Linked DNA regions of Rattus norvegicus. The protein of the gene in region 2 interacts with the protein of the main gene of each other region in a pairwise test. Links are inferred from orthologs where the notes say so. Each region holds a gene or a part of one and is shown on either strand. Other genes may lie near its edges.

Evidence for each region. The genes of interacting proteins can lie anywhere in the genome.
Region 1: the proteins of Fhl3 (region 2) and Trim27 interact in a two-hybrid assay, tested with the Homo sapiens proteins (2 studies listed by BioGRID and IntAct). The two-hybrid records come from large-scale screens. The link is inferred for Rattus norvegicus from reciprocal best matches to the Homo sapiens genes FHL3 and TRIM27.
Region 3: the proteins of Fhl3 (region 2) and Dcdc2b interact in binary tests that used the Homo sapiens proteins (3 or more experiments, as listed by UniProt). The two-hybrid records come from large-scale screens. The link is inferred for Rattus norvegicus from reciprocal best matches to the Homo sapiens genes FHL3 and DCDC2B.
Region 4: the proteins of Fhl3 (region 2) and Patl1 interact in binary tests that used the Homo sapiens proteins (3 or more experiments, as listed by UniProt). The two-hybrid records come from large-scale screens. The link is inferred for Rattus norvegicus from reciprocal best matches to the Homo sapiens genes FHL3 and PATL1.

What each region holds. Positions count from the first base shown.
Region 1 is NC_086035.1:48,241,601-48,249,281, forward strand, and holds the start of Trim27 (zinc finger protein RFP), read right to left. Parts: upstream 4,458-7,681; coding exon 4,038-4,457; intron 3,506-4,037; exon of another isoform or gene 3,367-3,505; intron 3,301-3,366; exon of another isoform or gene 3,163-3,300; intron 2,955-3,162; coding exon 2,859-2,954; intron 1,352-2,858; coding exon 1,121-1,351; intron 1-1,120. Other genes in the region: uncharacterized protein LOC134482717, read left to right, coding at 4,456-4,784, 5,389-5,425. UniProt on the Homo sapiens protein: E3 ubiquitin-protein ligase that mediates ubiquitination of various substrates and thereby plays a role in diffent processes including proliferation, innate immunity, apoptosis, immune response or autophagy.
Region 2 is NC_086023.1:142,236,491-142,243,981, reverse strand, and holds the start of Fhl3 (four and a half LIM domains protein 3), read right to left. Parts: upstream 5,193-7,491; 5' UTR 5,145-5,192; intron 670-5,144; 5' UTR 649-669; coding exon 493-648; intron 397-492; coding exon 222-396; intron 1-221. UniProt on the Homo sapiens protein: Recruited by SOX15 to FOXK1 promoters where it acts as a transcriptional coactivator of FOXK1.
Region 3 is NC_086023.1:147,237,229-147,244,695, forward strand, and holds the start of Dcdc2b (doublecortin domain-containing protein 2B), read right to left. Parts: upstream 4,549-7,467; 5' UTR 3,806-4,548; coding exon 3,555-3,805; intron 1,358-3,554; coding exon 1,306-1,357; intron 873-1,305; coding exon 796-872; intron 593-795; coding exon 461-592; intron 179-460; coding exon 32-178; intron 1-31. Other genes in the region: Iqcc (IQ domain-containing protein C), read right to left, coding at 5,735-6,298, 6,391-6,497, 6,672-6,924.
Region 4 is NC_086019.1:218,252,916-218,260,422, reverse strand, and holds the start of Patl1 (protein PAT1 homolog 1), read right to left. Parts: upstream 4,549-7,507; 5' UTR 4,444-4,548; coding exon 4,429-4,443; intron 4,332-4,428; exon of another isoform or gene 3,644-4,331; intron 2,564-3,643; coding exon 2,452-2,563; intron 1-2,451. UniProt on the Homo sapiens protein: RNA-binding protein involved in deadenylation-dependent decapping of mRNAs, leading to the degradation of mRNAs. Acts as a scaffold protein that connects deadenylation and decapping machinery.

The DNA of each region.
Region 1 (7,681 bases), on a different chromosome or scaffold from region 2:
GTTTTAAATCAAATGGTTTTGGCTCTGATATTGTTTAGCATCAACCACATCAAGACTGTCATCTACTCCTAGCACCCTGGTCACTCTGACTCACAGGTCAACAGTCCCCTTTTCAAACCCCCCCTTCCTTCTCTCTCTAGCAATAAAACAGTGACACTTATTGAGACCTAAGCCATCTCCTCTTATCTTGTTAAAACAGGCTAGTAAACTTTTTCTTAAAGAATTATATAATAAACAGTTTAGGCTTCATAACACACACACACACACACTCACTCACTACTGCTGATGTAGTGGAAAAGCAGTAATGGATGTTATGTGTATGAACGAGTATGATTATGTATGATAAAAACGTATAGACACCTATTCTCAGTTTCATACAATTCCACCTTGATGAAAAACATTCTCTTCACCTTTCCCAAACATCTTAAAATAATAAAAACCTACTTAGGTCCAAGCAGCAGCAGAAATTAATGGCAGGCCATAATTTGCTCAGTACTGTGGTGCCTCACCATCCCTCCAAATGGCAATTATTAACATGTGTGATAACCGTTTACTTATTGTCTGAACTTTACACTAAAACACAATAAAAGAAAGCTCATTCACTGATCATTTAATTCCTGTGCCCACCATAGTACTTAAACATGGAAGATAAGACAGGAAGGCAGGCAAGCAGTAGCTCTTACCCTGGGAAAGCATTTGGCTTCCCTCAGTTATGCTAGCACAGGTGATTTATATTCAGGCTAACTGTACCTGTTGTCCACACAATGTCTTTGGCTGTTGTTAAAACTCGAGTATACAGTAAAATTACTGGATGATGAAAGGGTTTTGAATGACATGTGGCCCAAATGTTTTATTATACATAATCTATTCTGAGTAAATAAGATTAATGAGACCCTAAGACTGTAGAGGGAAGTGCAGGAAAGGCCCAAGGACTAGGTTTTTCTTTTACCTTTTCCATGACGAAATGCAACTGAAGAACTGAGTTGTGTCAACCACAACTTCTAGTATACAGGTTTTCCTTCCAAAATGCTTAACACTTTAGCAGTTAAAAGGGACACAGGGAATCACAGGAATGTTGCCTGACAAGGTAAAAGCTGCCCTGCAGCGCTCTCCTGGTTACCTGCAAGAGCTCCCTCGTGGGCTGCTGCTGCTTCTCTTCCAGTTGGGCAATCAGGCCACTGAGGTGGGAGATGTTGCAGGAGAACTGAGTGATGGCACCGTTGATGCTATTATAGATGGCCAAGTCTAGCTCCTCAAGGCGAGCCAACAGGCGATACTCATGTTCCTTCAAAGAGTGATACAGCTGCTCAAACTCCCAAACAATTTTTTCCCTCTCCATCTGGGTCAGGCTCTGTAAATGACAAGCAAAGGTAAGAATAGGAAAGGCTCACTGTTAGAATCCTTCAAAATAACCCCCATGACTTAACCCAAAGATCTCACCATTTCAAGTTACATGAAAACAGACACTATGCTCACCCACTCACTTTCCAGTCTACACAGACACGTGCCGACCACGGACTGAATTACTTCAAATCTTAATTAATAAACAGTCTCTAATCTTAAGGGACCCAGTCAAATCAGGGTCAGGTTCATCCACGGATAGGTAAAGACACTGAAACTCAACTGTCTTCCTAAAGTCCATGTTTGCACAGGTCTTGTAGAATGCCATGTAAGCATAAACTAGACAGGCTGTCTAGGCTGAGCAAATGGCACAGGCAATAAAGTGGGGAGAAAAGGCATTGTTCTACATGACTGGAGCCCATGAACATCTTGCCTGGCAGGCGGAGTCATGAAACAATCACAGTGAAATGGCAGGGTTAGGTGTGCACTCTGTGGACATGACCTGGTATGATCGAGCAAGCACAAGTTTCCTGGATGTGTTTACTTGGTCTCAGTAAGTAATCCATGCCCTGATTTTTTAGGGGGTGCTTATGGGTTCCTCTCCATACAATGTTTCTATTGGTTTGTCTATCTTTCCTACATTTCTAATTCCTCCATGCCTGCATTCCTAGCACTTGGAAGGCAGACAAGGCAAGACTGGAACTTCAGGATCACTCTTAACTATATAATGAACTTAAGATCAACTGGGGCTACCTAAGACATCCTAAAAAACCTAGAGTTCTAAGATTATAAACCAAGTGTGGCAGTGCATACTATAATTCCAGCACTTGGGGAGACTAAGGCAGGAATATGGAGAGTTCAAGACCATCCTGGATTGCATAGTGAAACTATTTCTGAATAAACAAATGGTCAGCAAAATGGCTCTAGAGCAGTCAAGAAAGATTTTACTTGAATCCAGCCAAACCCACTCATTTATGTATTAGACATGGCTGTTTTTGAGATGCAATGACTGAGGTGTTGTGATTTAGCTTGTGTAAATTAACAAAGCTAAAAATACTTATTACTGGCCCCTTTCAGAAAGTTTGCTAAAATCTGACTTGAATTCAACTGTTCCAAGGGCCCCTTATACCTCTTTTAACCTGGATAAGTCTTTCAAAGGTATAAAGTATACAATATAACCTTAGACAAAATTAAGGCTAAAGATCAATTTACTGAGTATATCCAAAGCAGTGTGACTGACACACTGGCACAAGTATTTCTCTCTGGAAAATCCTCCCAAAGCTGATATGATACATTGTATGTTTAAGTTTAGTCTACACAAGATCACTGAGAAGTTTCTTCATCCTGTTTTCAAGCAAGAGGTGTCAAGATCGCACTCACTCAGAGACAGGATGGAGCTAAATGATAGGAATGACAGACACCAAGGGGAAATGCTCTGCTTAGAAGTTTTCATTACACCCTTGCCAAGGCTATCCTGATGCAATGCCTCTCTGCAGGCTGGAGACCTGGACCCTTACCAGGAGCTCAGCTCGTGCCTGCTCCCCCTGTGCCCTCCGTCTCTTCTTCAAGTCTTTCACTCTTCTTAGGTGGTCCAGCCGATTCTGGATTTGCTCCTGAAGAAAGTAAACAGTCAGCCAATTCAGAATTTTGCAGATCTCAGCATCAAAATAGCTACTCTGCTTATGACACAGGAACCCAAACTACAGATGCCAAGGCCGGGCTGGACTCTGTCCTCAGACCACAGTGCCATTCCTGGGAAGAGCCTAAAGCACAGGGTCCAGCACAGCTGTTTTAGAAATTTGTTAAACTCAAGCCACCTACCAGTTCCTAGAAGCATTCTGCACAGGTTATGAGACATCTGGGTAAAGAGGCTCAAAAGGTAAGCTATTCCTCAGACGAATACAGAAAAAAATGATTTATTTTCCTCATGCACAGAACTGGTAAGCATTACTAAATTACAACTTTATTTCCAGTGAGTGAAATGATACAGCTTTGTAAACGTGACTGACATTTGGATGAACTCACATTTAAACAAATCTAACTGTTGGTACATATCCCTGCAGTCCTCAAAACAGACTCATTATCACTTGAGAGTTACTTTATATGTAACATTTTCGAATTACTGTGTAGCTGTGCCAGTGTTTATTCAACAAAGGCCTCTTCAGGTCCTGTGAGTTCACTTCCTCTTCATTAAGTTATCTCCCGAGTCTGAGAGTGGCTAAATGATTTACTCAAGCAGTAAAGAGCTCTGTTCATTTCCATTAGGTTCTAAAACAGGTTACAGGGAAGCGCTGGGGGCTTAGATTAAGTGATAGGCATCGGTCGATGTGAATTCGGCCAGCCAACAGGGGCTGTCTGGTTTGATATCCTGGGCCAGAGCAAGTTCGAGGTGTTCAAGGCCTATGGAAGTGGACATGGCTCCATGTGCATCTCCTTTGTCAAGGGAGGGTCTCCTCGCGCCGTCCCAGCCGCGGCACGCGTTGAGGCAGTTAACAGGGGGCGCTCGGAGAAGGGGTGGGGGTGGGGACGCCTCTGGCCTCGCCAGCTACAGGTTCTCCTTCCGAGTCTGAGCGCGGAGGCTCCGCAGCCGACAGGGAGGAAATGACGGCGGTGGGCCCCACGTCCGGCTCGCCATTTTCTCGGCGGCAAACCAGGAAGCCCCCGGCTCTCCTCTTTGTCCGCCGGCCCGGCCCTACCTTGAAGCCTTCCACAGCCTCCTCCAGCGGCAGCACGCTGTGGCCACGGTGCTCGCGCGAGCGGTCGCACACCACGCAGATGGGCATCTGGTCCTGCTCGCAGTACAGCTTCAGAGGCTCGCGGTGCTTCTCGCACACGCCCATCTCGCCGTCCGGCCCCGACGGCCGCTCGGTGCGCAGTTGCTTCACCAGCTGGGTCACGTTGGCCAGGTGCCGGTTGGGCCGCATGTGGCGCTGCGGGAAGGTCTCCCGGCACTGCGGGCACGACACGTTAGTCTCCGCGGCACCCCAGCAGCGGGCCAGGCACGCGCAACAGATGTTGTGGCCGCAGTCGAGCATCATGGGTTCCACAAAGTATTGAAGACACACGGGGCAGGTGGTCTCCTGCTGCAGGGACTCGGCCACGCTCCCTGAGGCCATGGCGCGAGCCGGCTGGGCCGCAGGGCATGAGCCCGGAGCCGAGCTCTGGCAGAGCCCGGCGCTCTCTCTCGGCTTCTCAGATCCGGAGCGGGGTGGGGCCTCCGGCGCGGGGATCCTAGACGCGTGCGGAGCTCTGGGGCGGCCAGACCCGTCCCCGCACAGCTGCACCTCACGGACAGCGCGGGAAGGCCTGGGCCCCAGGGCCCGGCTGAGAGCCGAGCAGAGGGGTGTCGGGAACCCGGCGCTGCAGGATGGCTCACCGGGCAACGTGGCCGCGTCGGAAGGGATCCCAGGGCCGCGCAGACTCCTAAGGGCCGAGCGGAAGAGGTGGGCCGGGGGCGGGGCCTGGCTTCCCGCGCCGCTCTCCTCCGGGGCGGGAAGGCGGGTTTCCTCGGCGCAGTCCTGGAGCCCCGGTACCCAGCCCGGGAGTCGGTGGTGGTTGCCCTTTGCAGTGGGAGCAGGGTGTCCCTGGCAGTGGGGTCGGGATACTCTAAGCTTTGGTGGATCCGTAGTCCTTTGCCGGGTGTCTTCTTAGTGCCTAGGCCTTGGCTCCTTTAAATGCAAGGTGGCTTTGCATAAGTGCCGGAAAACTGGGCTGAGAGACCAGCTAAGCCCCTCCCAGTGTGTGAAGCACTCTGAAACACACCCAACTCCAGGCGATAATAATCGCCAGAAAAAGGTTTTATTATCAGCAACTTTTCTCAGTGGCAGAAATGGAGAAGCCCACTTCTACTTCCACCCTAAAGTAAGTTTGTTTATCGTTCCGAGCCTCATTTTCTTCTCGCGTGAAATGGGGGATTGATAGAATCCAGACCAGAGTGCTCACCAGACCCTGATACCTACTGAAGTCCTTCCCCTTCTCTCTAGCCTTCCGGCTACTAGGGAGCTGCCTCACCGAGAGCCCGCTTGTGAGTCCCTAACTTCTTAACAGGCTCCTCTGGTGCCCAGTTTCTCACTTCCTCAAGTGAAGTAGCCAGACCAGACATATCAAAGAGCTACTTGATGACACACTTCTTCCCTACCACCTGCTGAGGAAGGAGCCTGGCCGCGGGTTCCTATGAGACCCTAGAAGAAACGACCCTGATTCTGCCACGTGGGCTTCATTCTCGAACACTCCCCAGCCCCCACCTCCCCCTGGCGCCTGTGGCGCGGCCAGAAATTCTGATTGTCCACCGCCTATCTGCCTATGGCGCTAATAAAGTTCTTACTCCCAGCAGTCTGTTTCAGTGTCTTCCTTGAGCCCCCATACACTGTTGCTTTCAGGAATTTTCCCCATCCGTGAGTTAAACTTTTTAAAACACAGCTTGAGCCATAAAGATTTTTATCCATTAGTTTAAATGAAGTGTCCAGTGCATTGAACGGCATTGAGTAGAACCTAAAACTTGCTTGTTTCTGCCCAATTGAGAATTCTGCGACGACCCGAGGAGGTCTTGTAGGCTAGCTTCTTATCACAGAATAGATTTGCAGTTCTGTGCCCTGTCACTTCTGCCGTGGCCTTTCCTACTCTCCTTTGGGATTGACTCAGTGTCTGGACAGGGAATTTCTGTATCCAGAGCATCACTTCATTGGATTCTGCTCGGTTCTTTCCCTTGGGACAAGAAATCCGAGGCACTAACAAGTCTTGCTCACCCAAGCCTCCATTCTCCTACCTGCCCTTTTGAAACTCCAGGCTCAAATAATTCAGCACACTTCCAGTAAAAGGTAGAATGCTTGTCCTAGGCCACACCATAGTCTGTCTAGTCTGGTTCAAAACTGAAGTTGGAATTGAAAGTTCTACTCTCACTCCAGAAGGAAGAAGTACGTTTTGCAAGCTGGTGTGTAACTATGAAATGCAGATAGTAGATATGTGTTCTTAGGTTAGCAGTGCAGCTCTGGCGTTTAGCCTTGTCATCCAGGGCTCATGCTGCCTCTGCTTTCCTAACCTTGAGGTAGATGGCCTGGACAAACCGTTGGTAAGGTGAAGGAAGTAGGGGAAAGGGAAGCTTCCCTTCCCCTCCGTGATTGCTACTGGCCCTCTCCTTTCTCAAGTGATGACTATTTTCTCTTCATTCACTTCATTCGGTAGGCTTGTTGTACAGAGCTTTGTTGCTTAGTCGCCTACTCATTCCCAGCTTTTCTCAGCCTTAGAGGTCAGACCCAGGACCTTAAGTTAGGCAAATGCCCTTCAACAATTCCATCTACTCAGTTTTCATTTTTGTTCCTCCACCTCGACCTAAATTATTGCATACCCTACCTGTTTGCAATGATTTGGAAATGATTTAGATGAATAAAGCACTGCTGTGAATTTTTTATCAATTATGGTTGTCGCAGAAGCCTTGCTACTGTCTGACATTACCAAAAACTCTGAGCGCGGTGCAAAGTGGTGGATTCCCTTTGTCGGCAGGGCTTCTCCTTCTTTGACCTTGTCTGGGGAGCTTGGAAACCCCTCCACACAATCTGCCTGAAGAATGTCACGTAGCCTTGATGAGATCACAGGTGCAGCTTCCTGTCCAGCAAGCACCTAAGATTCCAGGAATGCCTTCTCATGCTAATGAGGCATCAGTGACCTTTGACCACCCTGGGTATTCCTACCTCTTCCTCAAAGCTATAGAATCCTTGGTTCACCTCCAGTAAAGTTGATCTGACTCTCCAAAGCTGACCCTGCAGTGTCATTTCCGTTGGTATTCACAGGCTCTCAGAAACCCTCTTCCTCCTGGGCTGCTGGAGAGTGACCCCAGGGAAACCCACATATGGTAACAATACCTAGTGTAGTTGCTAACTTTTATACACTTATGGGAACAAAATAACAATTCTGAATTGCTTAATCATCTAATAGGGGATGAGGATCCTTGATATATGAAGGACTAAAAATCAAAATTAGCGTACACGTTCAATACAAGAATACAAAAGTTTAAAAAAACCAAATCAGTAGTCAAATGAATTAATTGAACATACAATTCTCGAAAGAAGTACAAATGCCCAGTGTGCATGAGTGTGTGTGCACACAGATGCACACACACACACACACACACACACACCAATATCCAACATCTTTAGGCACCAGGGAAATAGAAATTAAAGCCACACTGGGTTCCATCTCCCACCGATCAAAATGGTGACATTGAGACTAAGCAACAGCAAATACTGACAAGGGATTGAAAGGGTGTCTTTATACGCTATTGGCTAGATGGTTAATGAGTACAGGAAATGACTCGAGTTCTCCCTGCTCCTGCCAAATTAAAAGT
Region 2 (7,491 bases):
TGTCATGTGTAGAGAGAGCCAGGTGTGCTATTCCCTGTGTGCAATAAGCTCTCAAGAACATACATGTTCCACACATGTTCCAGGATGTTCACATTCACGTACACATCCAGCATGTGTAGGTCTCTGCTCACATCAACCCCCACGCATGTATGAGACAGGTAGACGAAAAGACCTTACTCAGATAGCAATTCCCAAAGCTGGGTAGAGGCCCTGGGACATACCGGGCATGACGGTCTCCCCACAGGCAGAGCACTGGGAAGAGAAGGCTGTACAGTAGCACTCATTACAGAGAAGCTCACTGTCCTGACAGGTGAAGGGCTCATCGGCGAGGGAGCGCTGGCAGCGGCAGCAGCGGAAGCAGCCCTCGTGGAAGTGGCGATCCTCATAAAACAGTTCCTTGGGGGGGGGGGGGAGACAAAGCGGGGGCGGGTTTATCTTTGGCCCTCTCCCATCCGTCTTCCCGGACTCTCACCCATTTGGTCCGGTCCTTACCCTTGAATCGTGGCCGATGAGCTGCTGGCACTCGGCACAGGTGTTGGCGAAGGTGTTGTCGTAGCAGGGAACACAGTAGGGGCCGCTGTCTGTCTGGATGTATTTGCGGCCGTACAAGGACTCATTGCATTTTGCACAGTCAAATGCTTCACTCATGGTGGCGGTGCCCAGTGAGCCCTGTTAGGAAGATGGACAGAGTTTACCTAGAAGGACTGTAGCATAGTCCTGGATTAAAACAAAACAAAACAAAACAAAAAACCTCCTTGCATTCAAAGAAGAAAGGGGGCATAGGAGATGCTAGATGCAGGTGGAGATGGGGGAGGACCGCTCTGGGGACCCAGTGCGCTCAGTGTATGCTCAAATCTTCCATGTTTATTTCTGTATTTGACTGTGAGAATAGGAAGGGGTCAGGAAAAAAAATCAGGAAGCAGAAGTTTTCTTATCTAGGCCCTGGCTGATCTGGGGGGAGGGGGCTTTTCCTGGGTCAGTGACTCATTTCCTGCCCTAGCCTGAGGTTTGCTTCCACTCTCTGGACTGTCCCTAGGGTGCCAAAGGCCAGGACAGAGGCCGCCAACCCTACTGCATATAGACAACACTCTCACCTCCTGACTCCCAGGATAGGAATCATAGGGGCTAATTATCTAGACTCCCGGTCTGGGGGAGTTTTAGGTGGAATGAGCTGTTTTGTGTGCTCTCCCCCACCCCAACTCCCTACCGATGCAGATGCAGGAAATCGTGGACTGCTAGAGAGATGCTTGTCTGATGAATGGTGCACGTCGGTGTGAGAAGTTGGGCCTCCCCTCCCAGGGGAATCAGCCAAGCAGCAAAAACTTGAGAGGTTCCGCTTAGGTTCAGGCAGGAAGGAAACCCTGCAAGCTGGACAGCCAGACTTCCCCAGCTGGACCTCATCCTCATCCCTACCACCTCTGCTGTGTCTCTGGTCACACCAGCCCGGGCAGTCTTGGCTGTGACATCTGCTGCAGCTGTGGCAGCACGGAGGGCCAGATGTCAGCCTTTTGCCAACCAGAGGGAGAAAAAAGGGAAAAAACGAGATGCCCAGGGAAGCGGAAGGAAATGGAGACACACAGATAGGGCAGTGTCTTGCTTCTCCTGCCAGGTGCCCGTTCTAGCCCTGCAAAGTCCCCTGCATCTGGACAAGCTGCCTCTGCCTACCTTCCCTGGGTTCCCAGGGTTTGAGGCCAGAGTAGTGAAAGCTGAGAAGGTGGGAGCCCCTGGAGCCCCAGTGGGGTCCCTTCTTAACAGGGAGTAAGACAAGGGGAGTCCTAAGTGCTGTTGCTGCAGACACCCAGCCCCCCACCAAACCTCAGACACTTTCCATTTTCTCAGGAACAAAGCATGTTTGTGGGATGAGGTCACCCACACAGCTGCCTCTGGAACAGGAGCATGAAGGATGGGGGGGGGCAGGGAAATGGGGTTCCCGGTCTCTTCTGCTGGCCAATTCCAGTCTCCCTGGCCCCAAAGTCAGAGTTCCCCTGCTCCACCCTGCTCCATTATGAAGCAAGCTTTCAAAGGGCTGGACAGTGAGGAAGATCCCCCAGGACCCACAGGAAGTCGGGATGGTGTCATTGTCGCACAGGAGACTGGAGGAAGTTAAAGGGGGGTGCGCAAAGGATCCTACCAACCCCCTTCTCCATAGCTGCCCTGGCTTAAGATGAAGGAAAGGCATTCCCCGCCCTCCCAAAACACACACACACACACACACACACACACACACACACACACCCCCCTCAGCAAGTACAGTAAATTCTCACCAAACACCTTGGTCTGCCTTGCCTTAGAGTTCAGACTTCAGGCAACAACAGATGTCCCAAGCCTTGAAGGGCCCACCTCTTTGTGGCTTATGAATTTGAACTTTCCCTTCCACAAGGTGGGAGAACACCTGGTTCACAACCAAAGCAGGACACACCAAAGCTTTGGACAGACCAAAGCTGAAGTCTTCAAAGGGGAGAGTCCTCAGGTAGGGGTTATGCTAAAGGATGAAGAGAACCTCCTCTTCCCTCTCCTTCTCTCCCCCCACCGTCATTCAGGTCTTGGTCTCCTCTGGCCCAGCCTCTGAGGATCGCCTGGGCTGTTAGCCACAACAGCAAATACAGGTGGTCTGTGGCCGTGAGTCCACTTGGGAGCCCTTCCTTCCGGGCTTGGCGGCAGCAGCTACCTTCCCAGGTCCAGGCTAGCCCTGGATCCACCCCCTCAGAGCCAGTCACCACAATGAGATGAGGCACCCCAAATAGGGCATGGGTGTGCCTTCTGCTTCCTTCCCAGAATCTCCCAATCCCTTAATCTATGTCTCTAATGAGGACAGAGTGAAGGGCACCACCAAGGCCCACTTGTCTTTTCCCCAGTCCCCCCCACCCCACCCCCATCCCTGGCAAGGCTGGAGGACTAGAAAGGTGAGCTGGGAGATGGTCTGTATTCCTGGTAGCAGGTAGGGGGTGGGAGAGTGAGGGGGGTGAGGAGGTGAAGGGGGTGGAGGAGTAGGGGGTTAGGAGGGGGGTAGATTAGAGGAGACAGTGGGTCTTCCAGATGACCCCAATCTGCTATTTCCACTAACACACATATCTCCATGCCTGACTGAACACACACACACACACACACACACACACACACACACACACACACACACACACACCAGTGAACTTCCGAGAGCAGAGTGGCAGCATATCTTTCTGTACGGTGTCCAGTGTATAACAGCTTGCTTGGGTCACAAAATATAAACCCGACTTGAAATCCTGTGACCTTGGGTACACAGTTTACATGCCCCGAGACTGTCCATCTAGTTAAATGAGATACTATTACCTCCCTCTCCTAAGACAGCTGTTGAGCTTAAATGTGACAATCCCCAGAACAGTGTCTGGCCAGTCATAAGTCTGTAGCCTTATGTAAGTAAACGGTAGTCACTTGTATTTTTACTACAAGCCCCTCAACTCCTACTGGGGTCAGACGGTGGGTCTCAGGCAGGCCTGAAGCGGGAATTGGCCTGGGATGTGACCTCAGGAGTCTCAGGGAACCACTGAGACCAGTCAGCAGGACACAGGAGGAGGGGGAACTTTAAAGACCTTACAGGTGGGTAGTTCCCGGGGGCACACACTTTGCTCGATGTCTTGTTATTTACACAATACATACCCCACGGTCACTACAAGCCGCACACCAAAAGGCAGGACAGAGTGTATAGCTCGTTTAGAGCTCAGCACAAGACACTAGGGGCAGGCTAGGGGCATGACCGAGACTGTTCAGCAATTGGAGCACAAGTGACCTATCCCTTAGTGGAGAGCTCTGCCTGGAAATGCTATGATAGTGGTGGAAGGGGCAGTCATGGGGGGAGGGGAGGACGGGGCTGGCTCTCCTCCCCAGCTGTCAACCTGCCATTGGAAGACACCCAGAAGTCTTTCCAATCACCCATGCCAACTGCTCAACCCTTTGGTATACCCCCCTTCCCCGCCTCCCGCTCCCCCACATATCCCAAGTCCACGAGGACCCTGGCCAGACCCCACAGCTGTGACTCAGACTTAGAGAAGACCCCTCCCCCTTGACAAGAGACTTAGGGGAGAAATTAGAGCCCCCTCTAACCCTCCCTCTCCCTGTCCCCCAACCAGGCACCAATCCCAAACTCTCCACCGCCCCTCTTGCCCACAGGGCCTGGAAGTCAAGCAGTTTAGGGAGAAGGGGATAAGGGAGCGGATCCAGCAGCTGCTCTGAGGACAGGAGAGGAACATTTCATTCACCCCAGAGTCCCCTAGGGCTGAGGCAGAGCGTCCAAGATTTGAGTTTAAAAATAAGTTGGCGCTGTCTTAGAGGCTGTACGGGGCTCTCTTTCTTCAGCTCAGCGTTACAGCCTCAGGTCCTCTGCCTCCTGGGGGATGGGCTGGCTAAGACTCAATTTCCCCCTAGCTTTGCCTCCACCCTTTCAGGCCTGGGGCAGCTGTCAGTGAATACACTAGGTGTCTCTCCTCAGTGAACTCTAGCCTCCACTCCATACCTCTCGGTACCCTTGGGCTGCTGTCTTTGTGTTGGGGTGAAGGTGTTCCTGTATCTCTGAAACTGTGTCCTAGTGGGGCCTCCACTCTGAGGATCTCTGTCCCTGTGCATCCAAGTCTTGGTCTCTCAGCGTCTCAGTGTCTCTCACCTGAGAGTCTCTTTAGGCCTCAGGGAGGCAGATTTAGCCATAGTCTAACAAGCTCCAGCCTCGGGGCCTTCCAAGGCCCTGGGAAGGGCGCTAGCAATGAGTTCCCTGGGGTCATACATTTTGCTTCTTAAATTGCTCCACAGAACCCGGGTCCCCGGCAGCGCCTCGAGAAGTTTATCCGGCCATTCTCAGCCACCATTGGTGTGGTCCGGGTAGCCTCCTGGGGCGCGCGCCCTTCCCTGTTCTACCAGACTCCTTAAAAGCCTCAGTTTCTCCAACCCCGCTACCTCTAAAGCTTTTCTAGTTCAAACTTGGTCCCAATCCCCTGCAACTCGGGCGGTCCCTGCCCGACCGGGAGGCGCGGAGCGGTGGGGTCCGTGCAGGCGCGCGGGATCCCGTGTTCGAGATGCCCCAGCAGAGGACAGGGGTGGGGGCCCGGGCGCCAACCCTGGTCCGAACGCAGCGCGGAAACAGGGGCTGGAAGCTGGGTGGGTGGGGGGACTCTCACCTCGAAGCGGGCGCGGGAGCTTGGGCGCGAGCGGCGTGGGTGGGGCGGGAGCCGATCTCCCGGCGGCTCCTACCTGCGGGCCGGGCCGAGGGGGCCGAGAGAGCCGCGGCGAGGTAGCCTGCTGCGACAGACTGTGTGGGCGAGTGGGCGCGCGGCCCTAAGCCTCCGAGGAAGTGAGCCGGCCCGCCCCGCCCGGACCCCGCCCCCGGGCCCCCAACCCGCCCGCGGGGGCAAGACCCCGCCCCCTCCTGCCTGCCGCGAGCCCAGCCCAGGCGAATCTGGCGCTCTGACCTTCTCGACCACTCCTTGCTCGCCCCCTGCAGCCTGACCCGCCCTCTACGCCCCTTCGACCCCGGGGGATTTCTGGAAGCGATCCCAGGCCAGGGATACGGGGCTTCCAGGACTTAGCTAGAGTCCATCTGGGGACCAGACCCCCTCCTCTTTTCCCTCTAGCTCATCCCCAGATGTTACACTAAACCTTAGCTTGGGAAGAGGCCTTAATCCAGCCTGCTGGAGGCGTGGTTTTGATTCTGACTTACCAGTGGAGATCAAGGGTTTGTGTTTGTTTTTTTTTTTTGTTTTTTTTTGTTTTTTCTAAAAACTTGGGTTAAAGAGAGAGAGCCTCTATCCTCCTCAATTTCAAAGGATTTTTATTCTATAAGCGAGTGGCGAAAGCCCAGGCAACAGCCTCCCCATCTTCAGCTGTGTCCTGGCACTGAGGTTTCAATAGTGCCCAGGAATAATTTTGACCTTTCAGGCTCAGGGAGACCCTAATCCTAGGTCCCATTGGCTTTGGGTTTCTTGAGAGGGTGTGTGAACAATGTGAGGGGTTGGGTTGGTGTAGGCAGGGGTGGTTAAGAAGAGAGGGAACTTGTGTAGTTTCTGACCCTCCAGCTTCTACCCTGGTTCGGGAAGGGAGGACTGGCGCCTGCCAGGGACATGAGGCCCATCCAGGTCCTTGAGGCCAACCCCCCTGGGATCCTCAGGCTTGTCACTAGAAATAAATAGCCTTGATCTGGAGGGCGGGGGTGGGGTGGGGGAAGCTCTGTTGTGCTGTTTGCAAAACAAGAGACAACAAACTAACCCTGGTAATAACCTTTGCATCTCCGTGATGATTCAGATGCCCAGAGAGGCTTCCCTGATCCAAGGCTGCATCCAGCCAAGGTAGTTTGTGGGGATTAAGAGCCTTCAAGGCTGGTGAGGATCGTTCCATAACATGGGTCTGGTTCCTAGGTCCTAAAACAATTACCAGACCAGGTTTCCTTTTAAAGTTAAAGAATTGCTTCAATGTTGTTGATTTTTTTTTTTCCCAGAGCTGGGGACCGAACCCAGGGCCTTGTGCTTGCTAGGCAAACGCTCTACCACTGAGCTAAATCCCCAACCACAATGCTGTTGATTCTTGTTTGTTTTTTGTTTTTGGAGCTGGGGACCGAACCCAGGGCCTTGCGCTTCCTAGGCAAGCGCTCTACCACTGAGCTAAATCCCCAACCCCAATGCTGTTGATTCTTAAATTGCAAATGCCACGAGAGCAGAGGTTGGGTCGGGGTTTTTTTGTTTTGTTTTTGTTTCTGTTGTTGTTCACTACGGCATTCCCAGTATCTACTCCAGTGTTCGACCTGCAGTAAATGAGGAAAGAATGTCACACACTGCTTTCATTTAGACCCCCCTGCTACTCCCTGCCAGGCACCTGCTATCAGGAGTCTAGCCAGTGAATAGAGAGTCTAAGGGTGGGCCCTTCCTCTGGGATTTGTCTCTCAGGTCTAGGGAACTCTAAATGTACAGGAATGCAGGAAACACCATCATTCCTGGTTGGAGCAGACAGCAGGGGTCTGTCTGTCTGTCCTGACATGAAGTGAGGACAATGGTGGGAAAGTGTGCTGGCTAGTTTTATGTCAACTTGACACAAGCTAGAGTCTTCGAGAGGAGGAAACCTCAACTGAGAAAAGGCTTCCATAAGATCAGGCTGTATGAAAGCCTGTAGGGCATTTTTCTTTTTCTTTTTCTTTTTTTTTTTTTCTCTTTCTTTTTTCTTTTTTTTTCGGAGCTGCCCAGGGCCTTGCGCTTGCTAGGCAAGCCCTCTACCACTGAGCTAAATCCCCAACCCCAGGCATTTTTCTAATTAGGGATTGATGGGGGAACACCCAGTCCAGTGCCATTTCAGGTGGTGCCATCCCTGGGCTGGTGGTCCTGGATTCCGTAAGAAAGCAGGCTGAGCAAGCCAGTAAGCAGCACCCCTCCACGGCCTCTGCATCAGCTCCTGCCTCCAGGTTCCTGCCCTGTTTGAGTTCCTGTCCTCACGTCCTTCAGGGATGCACTGTGATGTTGAAGTATAAGTCAAATAAACCGT
Region 3 (7,467 bases), about 5.0 Mb from region 2:
ACCTGTGACCCTTCACCTCAAACAAACCTACCAGCAGCCCCTGGACAGAGAGGGGCTGGGCACCAGCAGCTCCATATATGGGAGGGCTTTGAACTCTTCTTCTCCAACGGCCACATAGTAGTGGCCATTCACCAGAGCAGTCCCTGTGGACAGTGGGAGCCCCTCGAGGGTGCAGAGTCTGGGAGAAGAGGTAAAAGAGATGGTGGGTAAGAGACTGCTTCCTACCCTCTGAGTAGGCACTAAGCTCCATCAGAGGACCTTCTGACTCTGGTCCTCAGGGCAACAGTTAACTTAGGTTCTGCCCTGACTGGAGGGCTGGGTTAGGGAACCCCTCCTCTAGGGCACAGGAGGAAGTCCAGCTGGAGAGAACACACCTTCCCATGGCTGTTTCATCCTGGGGAGCAGCTAAAACAGTGTTGCGCCTTGGAGGGGGTGCATTCTCCCTTGTCTCCGTACTCACTTGTGTACAGTCCCACTCTGTACCGTAGCCTTCTCATTCAGTAGCTTCAAGACCACTTCCCAGTCCTGGATGGCAGTCTGGGACAGCTTCAGACTAAAGGGGGGACTTAGCAGGTCCCCGTTCCTGAACACACTGAGACAAAGAACAATAAGGGCAAGGGTCTCCAAGAGTCCCTCTGTGAAAGGGAGTGCAAGAACCAAGTGGTCCAAGAACCACCGACATGTTGGGTTTTTAATCTTCCCACTTGTGATAGGAAGAAACAAAACCCCACTCCTGTCTTCTTGGCCTCAGGGAGTCACAAATCCGTATTCCCCACTCCCGAGGTTGGCACTCACTGGATATAGCAGAGGGTGTCTGCTGGCAACCACTGTCCAAAGGCCCCATCACATGGGCGCTGAGATATGGGAGACTCCTGAAACCAAGGCAGGTCTTCAAGTCAGAAGTTCAGGGCTTGCTGGGACTGGTTAGTTCTAACCATGGGGTGAGCAGACAGGACCCAAACTTGTGAAGGCAAGCGAGAGAGCAGGGTGAATCTGGTCACACCTTCCTGAAAGGAGCATCTGTGTTTCCTGGGCCACATAACTCCTGTCCTTTGCCCTTGGATGTCACCATTTACTTATTCCTTTGGGGACCATGGCCTGGAGATTAGGTCAAAGGCTGGGACTGAGCCAGAGGTAATGTCCTCAATCCTATGTCCCAGGATAGCAGCAGGGTCTAGAGCAAGCGTGATGTGCTCCCTGAAACCAACAACTCTTGCTGCTTCCAGGACCTTTCTCAAAAGTGGAGCAGTCCCAGGAGGGATGGGACAAAAGAGGCTACAGACAGTCCCCACCCCCAGGACTTACATGTTGTTGCCTGTTCTTCCCACCTGGGTATTTCCTTCCAGGAGGCAAATAGCTGAAAGGACAGATAGGTCCCAGGTCACCTTAAGGAAGTGTGAACCTTGACCAGGTAGGTTTATGCCCATTACAACTGAGATTCTTAGCACCATGGCAGGTCTGAGGAGACAATTCTGTGGGTTGCCCTTTCCCTTGACTACTTTGAGATGGGTATGGTGGTACATACCTTTAATTCTAGCACTTCTCTGGCTGGGCATTGGTGGCACACACCTTTAATCCCAGATCTTGGGAGGCAGAGGCAGGTGGATCTCTATGTTCAAGGCCAGCATGGTCCACAGCGTGAGATTCAGGACAGCCAGGGTTATACAGATAAAGCCTGTCTCAAAACAAAACTATTCTAGCACTCCAGAGGCAGTGGCAGTGGGATCTTGAGTTTGAGATCAGCCTGATCTACCTAGTGAGATCCAGGCTAGGCAGATGGGAGGATGGAGTTTCCCCAGGCTAGCCTCTGCACAGAGTATAATGAAAGATGATCTTCAACTTCGGACCCTCCCACCTCTGTGTTCTATGTGCGAGGATTATGGGCCTACAGTCGTTACTGGCCTGGCTCCAAATTCTTAAATTTGTTCTCCTACCCCTCCCACACCAATCATCTGTTCACACTTCCTTCCTGATGCAGCCAAGCATCTCAAAGCCTCCGTTAGACGAGGACCATCCTCTGTGGCATGAGGCAATCTTCCAGTAGCTGCCCAGCACCCTAAACATCCCTCCTCACTGGAGCACTCTCTTTTTGAGCTAGGAATGTGGATGACTTAGGATCCCTGAGTACTGAGTAATCCAGGTAGATATTAGGTACACCATTGTTGAAGACCAAAGGCAAGCATGAAGTATCTTTTTTTTTTTTATTCATTTATTTTATATATAGGCACACTGTAGCTATCTTCAGACACACCAGAAGAGGGCATCGGATCTCATTACAGATGGTTGTGAGCCACCATGTGGTTGCTGGGAATTGAACTCAGGACCTCTGGAAGAGCAGTCAGTGCTCTTAACCGCTGAACCATCTCTTCAGCCCCCAAGCATGAAGTATCTTACTATAGCCCAGAAATTCCCCGGTTCATGGGCTGATTTTATTTTCACTTTGTATGATAGTCAAAGCGATGACTTGTACAGGTTTACACAGAAGGTGACTAAGTCCAGACACCTTGTTCCTTCCCTCTAGTAAACTACTCCACTGAGCTCTCGGAGCAGGTATGGAAGGTAGGGCTGAGTTGGGAGCTCTCATCTCACTGCTCTTCCACTTTGGAAGACAGTGTCATCTCGCAGGGATGGACCAATCTAACAGGAGCTTCGGACACTGAGTAGTGAGCTCATCAGTGACGGTGGGATTGCAGCAGCTCTCAGGGTTGGAGAGACCAAGCCACTTACTGCCAAGCCTGACCTCCGAGCCTACATGGAGAAAGAAAAGAACTAACTCTGGCGAGGTATCCCGACACACACACACACACACACACACACACACACACACACACACACACACACACACAAGAGCACTCCCTGCTCGCTCTTCCTGAGGATGAGTTGATTCAGCACTTGGGAGGCAGAGGCAGGGAGTTGGAGGCCAGCCTGATCTATAGAGTGAGTTCCGAGCCAACAGATGCCATATGGTGAGACCCTGTCTTAAAACAAATTTGGGGGGTTGGGGATTTAGCTCAGTGGTAGAGCGCTTGCCTAGGAAGCGCAAGGCCCTGGGTTCGGTCCCCAGCTCCGAAAAAAAGAGCCAAAAAAAAAAATTGGGGGGAGAGGGGTTTGAGAGACAGGGTTTCTTTGTCTATCCCTGACTGTCTTGGAATGCACTCTGTAGACCAGGCTGCCCTCCAACACAGAGATCCAACTGCCTCTGCCTCCTGAGTACTGGTATAAAAGGTGTGTGCCTCCCACTGCCTGGCTTTAAAAACTAAATTACTCAACAAAAACAGCTTTCAGAAAGACATCCAATTTACAGAATTCTGCCCGTAGGCTTGTCCTGGTTGTGATGGACATACACCTTGGTAACAGAACTTAACTCTGAGTTACAGCTCAATCTGTTTGCTTACATAGCCTCTGGCCAGTTTCTCAGTGTGCTTCTGCACTCTGGTAGTGTACAGTCTCTCCCCAGGCTTTGGAAAAATATTAGCCTGTTGACCTGAAGTACTAGATGCACTGTTAATCCCACCGCCCTCCCCAGACGCTCAAGCCAGCCCCCACCCACTCACTGGATCTTGTGGAATCGTTCGAAGCCAGCAGCCACATACTGCCCTCCGTTCTGTAAGTCAGCCAGGTTGGTGACAGGGTGGCCATCACTAAGTGTGTAGAGGGCACGTACAGCCAGTGGGGCTTGCACAGCTGATGTCACCTCATAAAGGAAAGCCTCCATGGTGGGGTAGCGGCGTTGGGTCACCACCAGCTGGTGGCCTGGAAAGAAGGGGTCCCCATTTCGATACACCAGTATCCTCTTGGCTGCCATAGTGTATCCTCACTCTCAGACACAGAGCTGTTGCCAAGCAACTAAGCCAGGGCTGGGAGATGTGCCAAAGGTGGAGTTCTGCCCTCTTATCCAGGAAGGCTGCAAGCACCTTGGATGGGAGCATTTCCCTGAATTCAGGGTCTCAGATGGGCCTCATAGCAGGACAGGTGTGATCACTTTTTCACTGACTTTGCAGTGAAAAACTCTAGCCCTTGTTCAGCCTGGTCTGACGCCATTATGAAAGGAAGAGCTCGGGCTCAGTGAGAGAGAGATGTCCATCTTGTCCAAGGTTTGGGCTCCTTTAAACAACTGAGACCAAGAGCAACCAGCCTGGAGCCTGTTACCCAAGGAGGATGGCTAGTTCCCTTGGCATTGTTGCTAGCTGGTTCTGGGGATGACACTCCCATGTCAGTGGGAGGTGAATCAGATGGCCCAGAATCTGTCCTGGTCAGAGGCAGGAGATAAAAGGAGACAGGCTCAAAACTTCCCCAAAGCCTGTTCTGACATGCAGGTAACTAAGGAAAGCATCAAGGTATGGTATGTGGACTGGGGTCCGTTAATAGCAGCCAACGGAAGCCTCACTGAGTGGGCAATTTACAGACTCAGCACCACTGATGGAACAAAATTTACGTGGGGTTGGCAAGAAGGCCCAGTGAGAAACTCTGAACTCTTTTTTCTTCAAAAGATTGTATATATCTATATCTATATCTCTCTCTATATATATATATATGTACGTACAATGTAGCTGTCTTCAGACACACCAGAAGAGGGCATCCAATCTTTCAGATGGTTGTGAGCCACCATGTGGTTGCTGGGAATTGAACTCAGGACCTCTGGAAGAGCAGTCAGTGCTCTTAACCGCTGAGCCATCTCTCCAGACCCTCAAGAAAAACTTATTCTCCATGGTCCTCTCACCCTACCATCCCCAAGAGAAGGTGAAATTTTGTAGCAGGTAATAAAAAAAGGAACTGTCTCAGGCTAGCACCAGCACGGAAGGCCATATGGCACCAGCAGCATCCTCTCATCTTGGCCTGCCAGACTTGACAGACTCTCTGGCCTAGAGCTCTTGAACTGTCTCCACCCAACTCGCTAAGTTCCCTTGGCAGGTCACTGTCACGCTAGCCCCATGCCCCTTGTGGTTATAGTCACAATTCCCAGTAACCCAGCAAAATCAAAACTCTAGAGGCTTGTAATTTATCAATCAAATTTATATCAGTAAATTCTCACCCCACAAAACGTCCACACAATAAACTCAGGGCTAACTGAAATTGACAAACTGCCCACCTAGATAAGACAAATTGTCCTGTAATTACCCATCCCATATAAGGTTCATAGCCACCTGTGGCTATTTAAAGCCACCGGATCTGGGTCATCCTTCTCTCCTCCTCCTTACTCTGTCCCGCCTCTCAAATTCTCAGCCCGCTTGCCTTTTTCACTGCCATATTTTGTGCCTGCAAGTAGACATCAATCCACAAAATTTGGTTTAAGTCACAGGCAGAAGAGAAAAGGGCGTGTCGTCCTTCTCTCTCCTACTGTACCAGCTCAGCCCTGCAGCTTCTCTTAGCCAGACAGCTACCAAAGGCAGATGTGGGGCCAGGGAGGCAGGACAAGGGCCTGCTTCCATATCATTTTTCATAGCACCCCCTTCCTTTCCTGGGTCCCCAGGTTGCCTGCTGGTCCTGCTTTCCGTTTTCTGCCCTTCCCCCAGGCCTGTCTTGTGGAAGACAAGTTCTCCAGTGCTTTTCATTTCCACTGCAGAGTCCGTGCTCTCCCATCCTTCTGCACTAAGCTCACTGCAGACCCATGGCTGGAAGCCCTAGCACTAGGGGCTGGCTCTTGGGTGGTTTGGTCTCTGTGAGATCCAGGCTACCATGTTCCTGCCCTGCCAAGGTCTCATCCCAAATCCTGCGGCCTTCTGAGATACTCAGATCATAGGGCCCGGCGCTCTGGCCAGTCAGCCTCTTTGTAGCTTGGCTTTCTGGAATATCTGTCCTCAATATTTAGATTTTCACTGAGAGTGGGCAGCTGTGTTTCGACCTTTCCAGAATAAGAACTCCTCAATTTGAGGTCCCTAAGAGTCTGATCTTCTAGGAGTTTCAGCTGCTGTCGGGAGGTTTCATTAAAGGGCTGTCCTCCACGGTCTGGCCCTTTGGTGACCCTGACCCCTCCAGCCTGGCTCTCTAATGCTGTAGGCAGCTGTGAACCAGAGTTCCGATAGAGTTCCCCGCCTTTAGCCCCAGCAGTGGCTTTGCTTGTACTGGTCATACTGTCTGGGGGTTTCTGCGGCTGCAATGTGCCCCTGTGGCAGGAATCCTCTGCATGATGTGGCTCTCCTATGACCCCGTCTCTATAGGATTGGTTGTCCAGAACACAGCTTGATTGCAACCAGGTCTCCTCATAGGCCTGTCCCCTGTGCTTCAGGCACATCTTAGTAGGCTTGTCTCTGATCTGGCTTGCTTCTGGGGATCGCAGTGTTTGCTTGAGAATCAGGTACTGTTAGGGAAGATCAGAGGCAGGCTTGCTCAGGCACAGCAAAAGGCCCCTCCCCACCCTTGAGTTCAGAGAGGGCTCTCAGTCAGTCCTACCTCCTTCCGACTGTTAATGGCCTGCTGTAGCCACAGCAGCTCCATGGCCAAGTGGTTGCGCTGCTCCTGGAGTTCCTGTTGTGTCTGGGACAATCCTAGATCTGTGACTTCAATGAGGAAGAGACATCCTTAGACACTGGGAACTGGGCTAGCCCTAGATACCCTTCACACTCTCAGACAGAGAAGAGGTGGGGAGGGTTGCGACTGAATCCTTTTGTGGTTCGTGGGAGGCTAGGACCCAGAGGAGGTCGGGGCTTGCCCTGATCTAGCTGGATCCATACCTGCACTTTGCACCTTGGAGATGGAGGGGTCTCTACTGTTCCCCTGGCTGGCTTTCCTGCCCGGCTCAGCCTGTGGCCAGGCGCTGTCACCTCTGCAAAGACTTCCTGGCTCTGCTGGGTTTTTATCTGTCTTCCTCAGCACCATCTCCTCCCAGAGGAGTTCTTTTTCAGAGTCTTTATGTGGGGAATGGCTCGATAGTTTCTGCTCTGGGTTTGGTATTTTCTCTATTTTCCAGGATCGATGAGATTTTGCCTTATGAGAATTTAGAGAAGTGTGAGAATTGCAGGGCTAACACCACCACCACCACCACCACCACCACCACCACCACCACCACCACCACCACCACCACCACCACCATCACCACCACCGGTGTCTGGAAACCATAGTCTAATGGGGAAGTGGGTAGGATCAGGGATTGGGGTGTGAGGAAGTAAACCTGCTTTCTCTTCCAATGGCTGATGTGTTTATAAAGAGAGGGGCGATATGTCCTACGAAGGTGTAGTCAGGAGTCGGGGAAGGGGGTGCCTCAGTGTAGGCCCAGGCTGAGCCATCCCTTCCTCCCGAGGATCCAGCCACATGTTGGTATAGTACAGAATAGAGTTTATTCAGGGTATAGGGAGGGAGTTAAGAGGGTCATCGAAGCAGAGAAAGGGAGTGAGTAGAGAAGCAGAGGCCAGCCATGAGCACCTGGAGAGAGAGTGGGAGCAAGAAGGGGGAAGAGCGGGCTGGAGAGATGGCTCAGTGGTTAAGAGCACCCGACTGCTCTTCCAGAGGTCATGAGTTCAATTCCCAGCA
Region 4 (7,507 bases), on a different chromosome or scaffold from region 2:
GATACATGATTGGACAGTAGAGAGTGGGGCGAGGACAAAGATTTGTAAGGCAGGAGAGGGGATAAAGGAGGAGATTAAGATGCAGTCTTCAGAGGAGGATGGTTCAGATTTAGGTGAACTAGCTTGATTTTATCTTGTCTAGGTGGGCTGTTTATATCTTTATCAATTGGTAGTGAATTTCTTATGTGGGTGAATTGTGGATTGAGAATTTAACATATAAATCTAATTGCTAAATTACAACTTTTTGGAAGTTTGATTTTACTGGGCTAAAGAGGGTAGCGTGTAAAAGAAATAGCTGAAAGGCCGTTGGGGCATGCGGATCTGGTTCTGTTGCCCGAGTAGAGTGACAACACACAGGGCCCACAGAATGAGGTAGGGGTGTGTGTGTGTGTGTGTGTGTGTGTGTGTGTAAGAGAGAGAGAGAGAGAAAGAGAGAGAGAGAGAGACAGAGACAGAGACATGGTAACTACTGCCTAGGGGACCACACAGAGAGGGCAGCTAAAAGTGAGACAGCTGGAAGAGAGCGGTTTGCGGACTGCGTGGCAGAGTAGCAGCCAGAGTGAGCAGATCCGGCTTGAGGGAACTGATAGAGAAGGCTTTTTAATTTTTACCACAATAGGGGTATATTTTCAAAACTCTGAATGTCAGTGAGAAGGCAAAGACCATTCTGTCAAGGTTCAAATTGAGAACATACTATGCTCTCTCATTTTAGTGAAGTATATTAATCATATGCATTTTAATACTGAACATTCTATACAGTATTTTATTAGAGAAATCTAGACACAAGTATATACGGTTTATAGCTTTTCCTGTGTTTTAGGGGTTACTGCTAAACTACCTTCTAAATACAATTTGCAATTTGTATCACCTCTCAGTGCTTGTAATTCTAGTCTACACAGCTTCCTTTGCTATCTCCATGGAGACAGCATCTTGGATCGTACCATGCTCCTGAACAATCTCATTTCCTAACTCTGGCTATCCTCTAAGATTCCGTAACTCTTCTCTCTACTGAGCACTGCTTCCATTGTTAGCGCATTTCTTGCTGCTCTCCCTCAGGACAGTTTTGGTTTTCTACTGATTTTTGCAAACAGGAGACAAGAACAAACCTTTCCAATTTTTCCACTTCACTTAACTCTGTGAGCTCTGAAGACTTAACTGTTTAAATTATTGCAATCAGTATCTACTGTTAGGATTTTAAAAGGCTTTTGGTACTGAACACCTTGGGATAACCCACTAGTGCTGTATTTTTCTGGGCTTTCTTCATTATTTAACTTGAAACACTTGTTGTACAGACTGAACTTTGGCAATTCCCCCTAAAATCACAAATAGTTACACACACCCCAACCTAAACACTGCATTCCACTGCTACTGCTGAAGCAGGAATATCTACATTTCAGGTTTTCATCTGTACTCTACTTGTTCTTTATAAACTATCTTGTTATTCTACTTTCTCTGTACTTGTTCTATGGACAAGTTATTAATTTATGAAGATATTTTATCACCCAACTTTATATAGTGTTGCCACTGTACTGAAAAAACTGAGACAGTAGAAATTATTATGCTAGTGATAGCCTACGAGCTTCCTCCCACTTTTGAGGGTGTATGAGATAGGGTTTCTCTGTGTAGCTTTGGCTGTCCGGGAGCTCTGCCTTCCAAATGCTGGGATTAAACGTATATACCACTGCCTGGCTTTTTCTTCCCTTTTTTGGGATCCTCCCCCACTCCCCCATATAGTCTAGCTAGCCTAGAACTCAAGTTTTTCCTCTATCTGACTGTGGTAAAGTGAATTTTAAAATGTCTTACATACTAGATCAGAATATTCGATACATCTATTAGTTTTCCTTGTATTCTTTACAAATACGTCCTTTATCCAGGATTACTTTCAACCTCATTTAAATGTTTACTTTTCCAATTATTTCCTTATAATATCAACCTAGAGCTATGGAGAATTGAGAATACCTGTTATAGGTGAGGCAAAGAGGCCCAGGTGACCAGAACAGAAGATGAACTGTTATGACTTAGTGAAGGCTATATTATATAAACAAAACTGGGTCAGGAAGAATACCCAGCTCACCTGAGTAGATAAAACCAATTCATGTACAAGTCTGACGATCTGAATTCAATCCCTAGAACACAGCTGGATGCACAGGTCAACATCTGTAATCCCAGTATTTCTACTTTGGGACAGGAGATGGAGACACAAGAATGACCCAAATTGTTGGGCCACCTAGTCTGAAATATGTAGCACTGTGGAAGAAACAAGAGAGATCCTGTCTTAACGAGGTAGAATGTGAGCTCCAGCTCTTGAGGTCTTTTTTTGGCCTTCACAAAACAGCCATGCCACACACTTACCTACACTTGTGCATACACAGAAAACTCACATTAGAGGTTGACCTAACACCAAAGTACTTGATGAGATCAACGAAGACAGTAATAAAAGATGTCACTTACCAACTGCACCTGATCCAAATGTATCATCATTAAATTGATCAATTTCTTCATCTTCTTCTCCCAGGCCCTGAAATGCATCTTCATCTTCATCTAGAGGACAATCCTCCAAAGACTACGGGAAGAAAAAAAAGGATTAACTTCTCATCACATTTATGTAGTCATTTAAAGTTGGACCCTTTAAATGATTTTTTAAGATTTATTGTAGATGAACACACAATTTCTTTATATAACTGTCTGAAATAGTGGTAATTATAAATGAACACTTTATTATCATGCAACCTTTTCAACAAAATTACATCGTCCTCACTATATCCATGTCGTTTTCTCAATGCTTTTAAATCTGTCCATCTTTCTTCCTCTTTCCGGTAGGACTAAACTCTAGCCAGAAAGCAGAAAGCAATCATTTTCAGCCAGAATGCAGATTAAATATTAAAAAAACAATCACAACTTCTTGTTCTACTCTTATAAAGTTGCCTAATAGGAAACTTGAAAAAACATTTTAATTTCTTTTTATTTTATATGCATTGGTGTTTTGCCTGCATACATGTATATGTGATGGTGCTAGGTCCCCTGGAACTGTAGTTACAAGTTATGAGCTGCCATGTGGGTGCTGGGAATTGAACCCAGGGTTTGTGGGAGAGCAGCCATTGCTCCGGCTCCCAGACAACTCTCCCAGACAACTTCTGAGGACCCACTATGTCTTCACACTCTATACTAGGTACTAAATCTCAGTCCCTTAAACTGTAATTCTGAGCCAAACACAACTTGATGAAAGAAATCTGTGTGAAGATCAAAGGAGGCAAAGATTTTAGAAAGCTGAATATTAGCTAGACTCACCATAACATCTTGGGTATGTTCTACTTTATTTTGTTTTAGTTACTGTTTCTCTAGGTACAGGATGGCTTAGCACTCCTGATTCTCCTGCCTCAGCCTCCAGGGAGTAAAGATCACTAGACAAGCTTAGTAAGTATATGCTAATTTCAATCATTTCTCCCAATTCAAATTTATTCAGTTTACCAAGTTTTCTTTGCTTCTGGCAACTTATATTCACAGTATCTCATCATCACTCTTCATCTTTTCACAAAGTGAGTTGAGTCACATATGTAAAGTCAAGCATTCTATTGTTTTCAATGTTCAAAGATTCCAAAATGGAATTCCACACAGTAGTGTTACAGCTTGTGATATAACTTACCTGGGAACTCTGAAGGGCCTTTCTACCCAATCTTCCTCCCCTAAAGAGCCAGTCCTGCAACTGCCTCCATACCAGAAGCAACTTCTAGCAACTCTTTATATCACAACGATCTACTGGGCCAAATCAGGATGGCTCAGTAAGGATTTTCCTAGCTCAGTCCCTAAACTATAAATCCGGAATCTGTTTGGCCCCAAGATTAGGAGTTGCTCAAGGTCACACAGCAGTAAATGACCGTCAGCAAACAGCTACATTCTCCAGGCGTCACCAAACCCACACTTTCCTCCATTCACCTAGAAGGAACTTCTGGGGGACACGCCCCCTCCCCACTCCGAGCCTTCCTTACAAGCTGACTTTAGTCTCAGCCCAAGGGCCAGTTCCTAACCCTCCACCTGACCGCTGCCCGCGTACACACGGGTGTGTGTAATCCGGGTGAAGGGGTTCCGGGTGCAGGGCGGGAAACGCTTCCGTGGGCATTCCCCGGGGATTTTGCCACGGAGTAGGAGCAATGCAGGTCTCCAAGGCAGCTCCACGAGCGGAGGCGCAAGGAAAGGGTCAGGTTACCGCACTTAACGGGCTCTCCCAGCCGCAAACCAGCGGCCGGCTCTAGCCAGTCCCGCCCCCCGAGGTGCGCTTCGGGCCCCACCCGAGCCCGGCGGCCGAAGCCAGGTCGCCAGCCGTCCGCGCCCTGCCCCCTCCTCAGCCGCACAAGACCCGCGCGACGGGCAGCAGAGGAAAAAGGGGGCGCGCGGGCGAGGGAGGGGTCATTTCCGGTCGCAGCCACTCACCTCGTAGCGGAACATTCTTGGGGAAGGGGGAAGGGAGCGGGGAGGGGAGTGGGGGGAGGGAGGGAAAAAAAGCGCCGACTCCCCGGGCTGCTCCGCGCGCGCGGGTCTCCCACCGGCTCGCGACCCCTGGCCGCCGCCGTACGCCGGAGCGTGCGTGGGGACGTGCGCAGGCGCGCCTCGGGCTGGGCGGGCGCCTCGGCGGCTGCAGCTGCGCGGGGACAGATTTGGCGTTTGACTTCCTAGTGTGAGCGGCGGGAAAGAGATCCCTAGGCAAGACACTGCGCACGCGCGGCCGTCGGGGCTGAACCAGAGAGCCTGAGCTTGCGGCTCCTCCTCCGTACTCCCAGCGGCACTCTTGCGCTGTGCTTTTCAGTCACGAGATTCCCGTCACTGACTGGGCGGAGAAAAGCCTTGTGAATGTCACAGGATGCGACCCTAAAGCGACTGCTGAGAAAATCGGGGATTTTATTTTTGGGTGGTTTCACCTAACGTCCAGTGCCCTTCTCGGGGTGCCTGGACTTGATCTGTGAGGGGGAATAGTGTGGAAAATCAGTGTTCTGGAAAGGGACGGGTCGCTGGCTGAATCAGCAGGGAGACCAAGGCTGTGATTAATAGAGGCCAAAGTGTTGACAGCATCTGTTTTCAGGAAAAAGACAAGGCACATTTAAAGAGGGTTATTTAAAGTGATATTTTTAGATGCCAGGCGCTTCAGGCCGTTGGGAAGCGGGAGAGCCCTAACGGGCCGCGCAGCCTTAGGGTTGGGGTCACCGTAGCAAGGTCAGTGAGCTTGAGTGCGCTGTAGACAACCATTTCCGTTCAGGATCAAGCCCAGAGGAGTTTGCTCAGCTTGCAAGCCTCAGCACCCTGGTTCTAGCAGCTTTGGTGCTTTATTGCCTCTAGTGAGTCCGTCTGAGTGGGTGTCTTAATTTTTATTTTATTTTTGAAACAGGGTTTCTCTGTGTAGCACTGGCTGTCTTGTTATTCACTCTGTAGACCAGGCAGCATAGCTCCTCCTGCCTTTGCCTCAGAGTGTTGGATTAAAGGGGAACAATGTCACTCACTACCCCCTGGCTCTTGTCTCACCTGGGAATGAATGGTGCACTTTAATTCCTTAACACATGACTGTTAACGGGACTGGGTTAATCAACTAGCTTACTATAAGCATTGGATTTGAAAATAGAAGTTCTGGATTGGGAAATGTCAGTTTTTCCACTGCTATGAGAAACTGGGCATGTTTTTCTAAACATCTGACCCTTCATGTTTTCTTTCATAAAATGGGTATAATTATATCTATCTCACCAAGTAGAATACATTCTCTGCTCTAAGTAGATAGCCTTAAGCCTCTCACTGCAAAGTGTTGCAGGGTTGGGTAGCTAAAATGTCTGAATTCCTAAATCGGATCACTTAAGAGCAAATCCACTTGACTCTTTCTTTCTTTCTTTCTTTCTTTCTTTCTTTCTTTCTTTCTTTCTTTCTTTCTTTCTTTTTTTTTTTTTGCCTCCCTCCCCAATCCACTTGACTCTTAAAGAGAAGGCAAGGTAAGCTAGTAATTGATTTTCAAGAGTTATGAAACTTTCGTGTGAGGTAACAGGCTCTTACGATTATCAAAGTACCAAGAGGCCATTTAGACCAAGAGCTATCAAACTCTGGTCAGACTTATTTTGTAAGCCTGCCAGCCCGCATTTACAAAATGTCTTTTGTTGGTTTGCTACTGTTTATTAGTTTTGTATTGTGACCAAAATCCTGAGCAGACAATATAAACGGAAAAAAGTTAATTTAGACTCAGGTTTCAGAGGGTATAATCCGTGCTTGTTCCTAGCAAGTCATGGAGTGGGAGGGAGTGTGTGGCAAAGGCTATTTGTTTATTGTATGACAAGAAAAAAACTGAGATATAGAAGACATTTAAGATTCAGCTTTCAAGGGACACCAGCTTCCACTTCCTCCACTAGGCCTCTGACCTTCCAGGAGTTCCCAGTAATGAATAGCATTACAATTACAGTCCTCATATTTTGAATCAGTCATTATAATCATTTTAGTCTATTCGTTCGATCACAGTGCTCACGATCCAGTTTTCTCTGACACCCAGAGGTGTGCCTCACTAATCTCTTAGCAGGTGCTTTATCCTGTCAAGATAATGAGTTGTCAAAGGTCTGTGAGGTTATAAAGAAGACTTTTTGTCCTTGAAGCATGAAAATGTTTAGTCAAATCTTATTTATTTTTCTATTTCTAGTTTCTTGATACAGACTCTCTCTATATACCGTTAGCCCTTGCTGTCCTGAAACTCACCACGTAGACTTCAAACACACAGAGATCTGCCTATGTTTGCCTATATTTGTTTAATCTCAGATTAAAGGTGCGTGCCACCATGTCCAATTTAGTCTACACATTTAGAGAGTAAATTTGGTGATACCAGATCATGTTTTCCGGTCATTTAGAAATAAATAGTAAACAAACAAAAAAAATTGTGTTTGGAAACCAAATAGATCCACCCAGTTTGTGAACTAACTGAGAAAGCAATGGAAGGTAGAAAAGATTTAAAACCGCATGATAAACATATTGATCCATCAGAGGCAGGCATATGGTCTTTGGGAGGTGAGGGCAGAATCAGGAATTTAAGGTCATCCTCACTTGCTGGGTCACACGAACTGCTTCCCCTCCCCCCACCCCCCCAAAAAATAAAAACAAAACCTACCAGTTTTAGGATACAGCTAAAGCACAAAGTTGGAAATTACCTACCAGAAAGTATAATTTCCTACAAAAAAGTAGGAGATTTTACTTATTAGAAGTCTTTGGAGCAGTAGTTCTCAACCTGGGGGTCACAAACCCTTTGGGGGGGGTCAGGGGACCCTTTCACATATCAGATATCTATATTATGACCTGTAACTAGCAAAATTACAGTTACGAAGTAGCAATGAAAGTTTTATGTTTTGGGTTCACCACGGTCTGTTTTAAAGGTAGAAGCAATTAAGACGGTTGAGAACCACTGCTTCCACAGGGTGAATATATGTTAAAAGAGGACGTGATAGAGTGACTTACGCAGTCCATTCTTGTAGTACTCCAGTAGTCAACTCACTGGGAA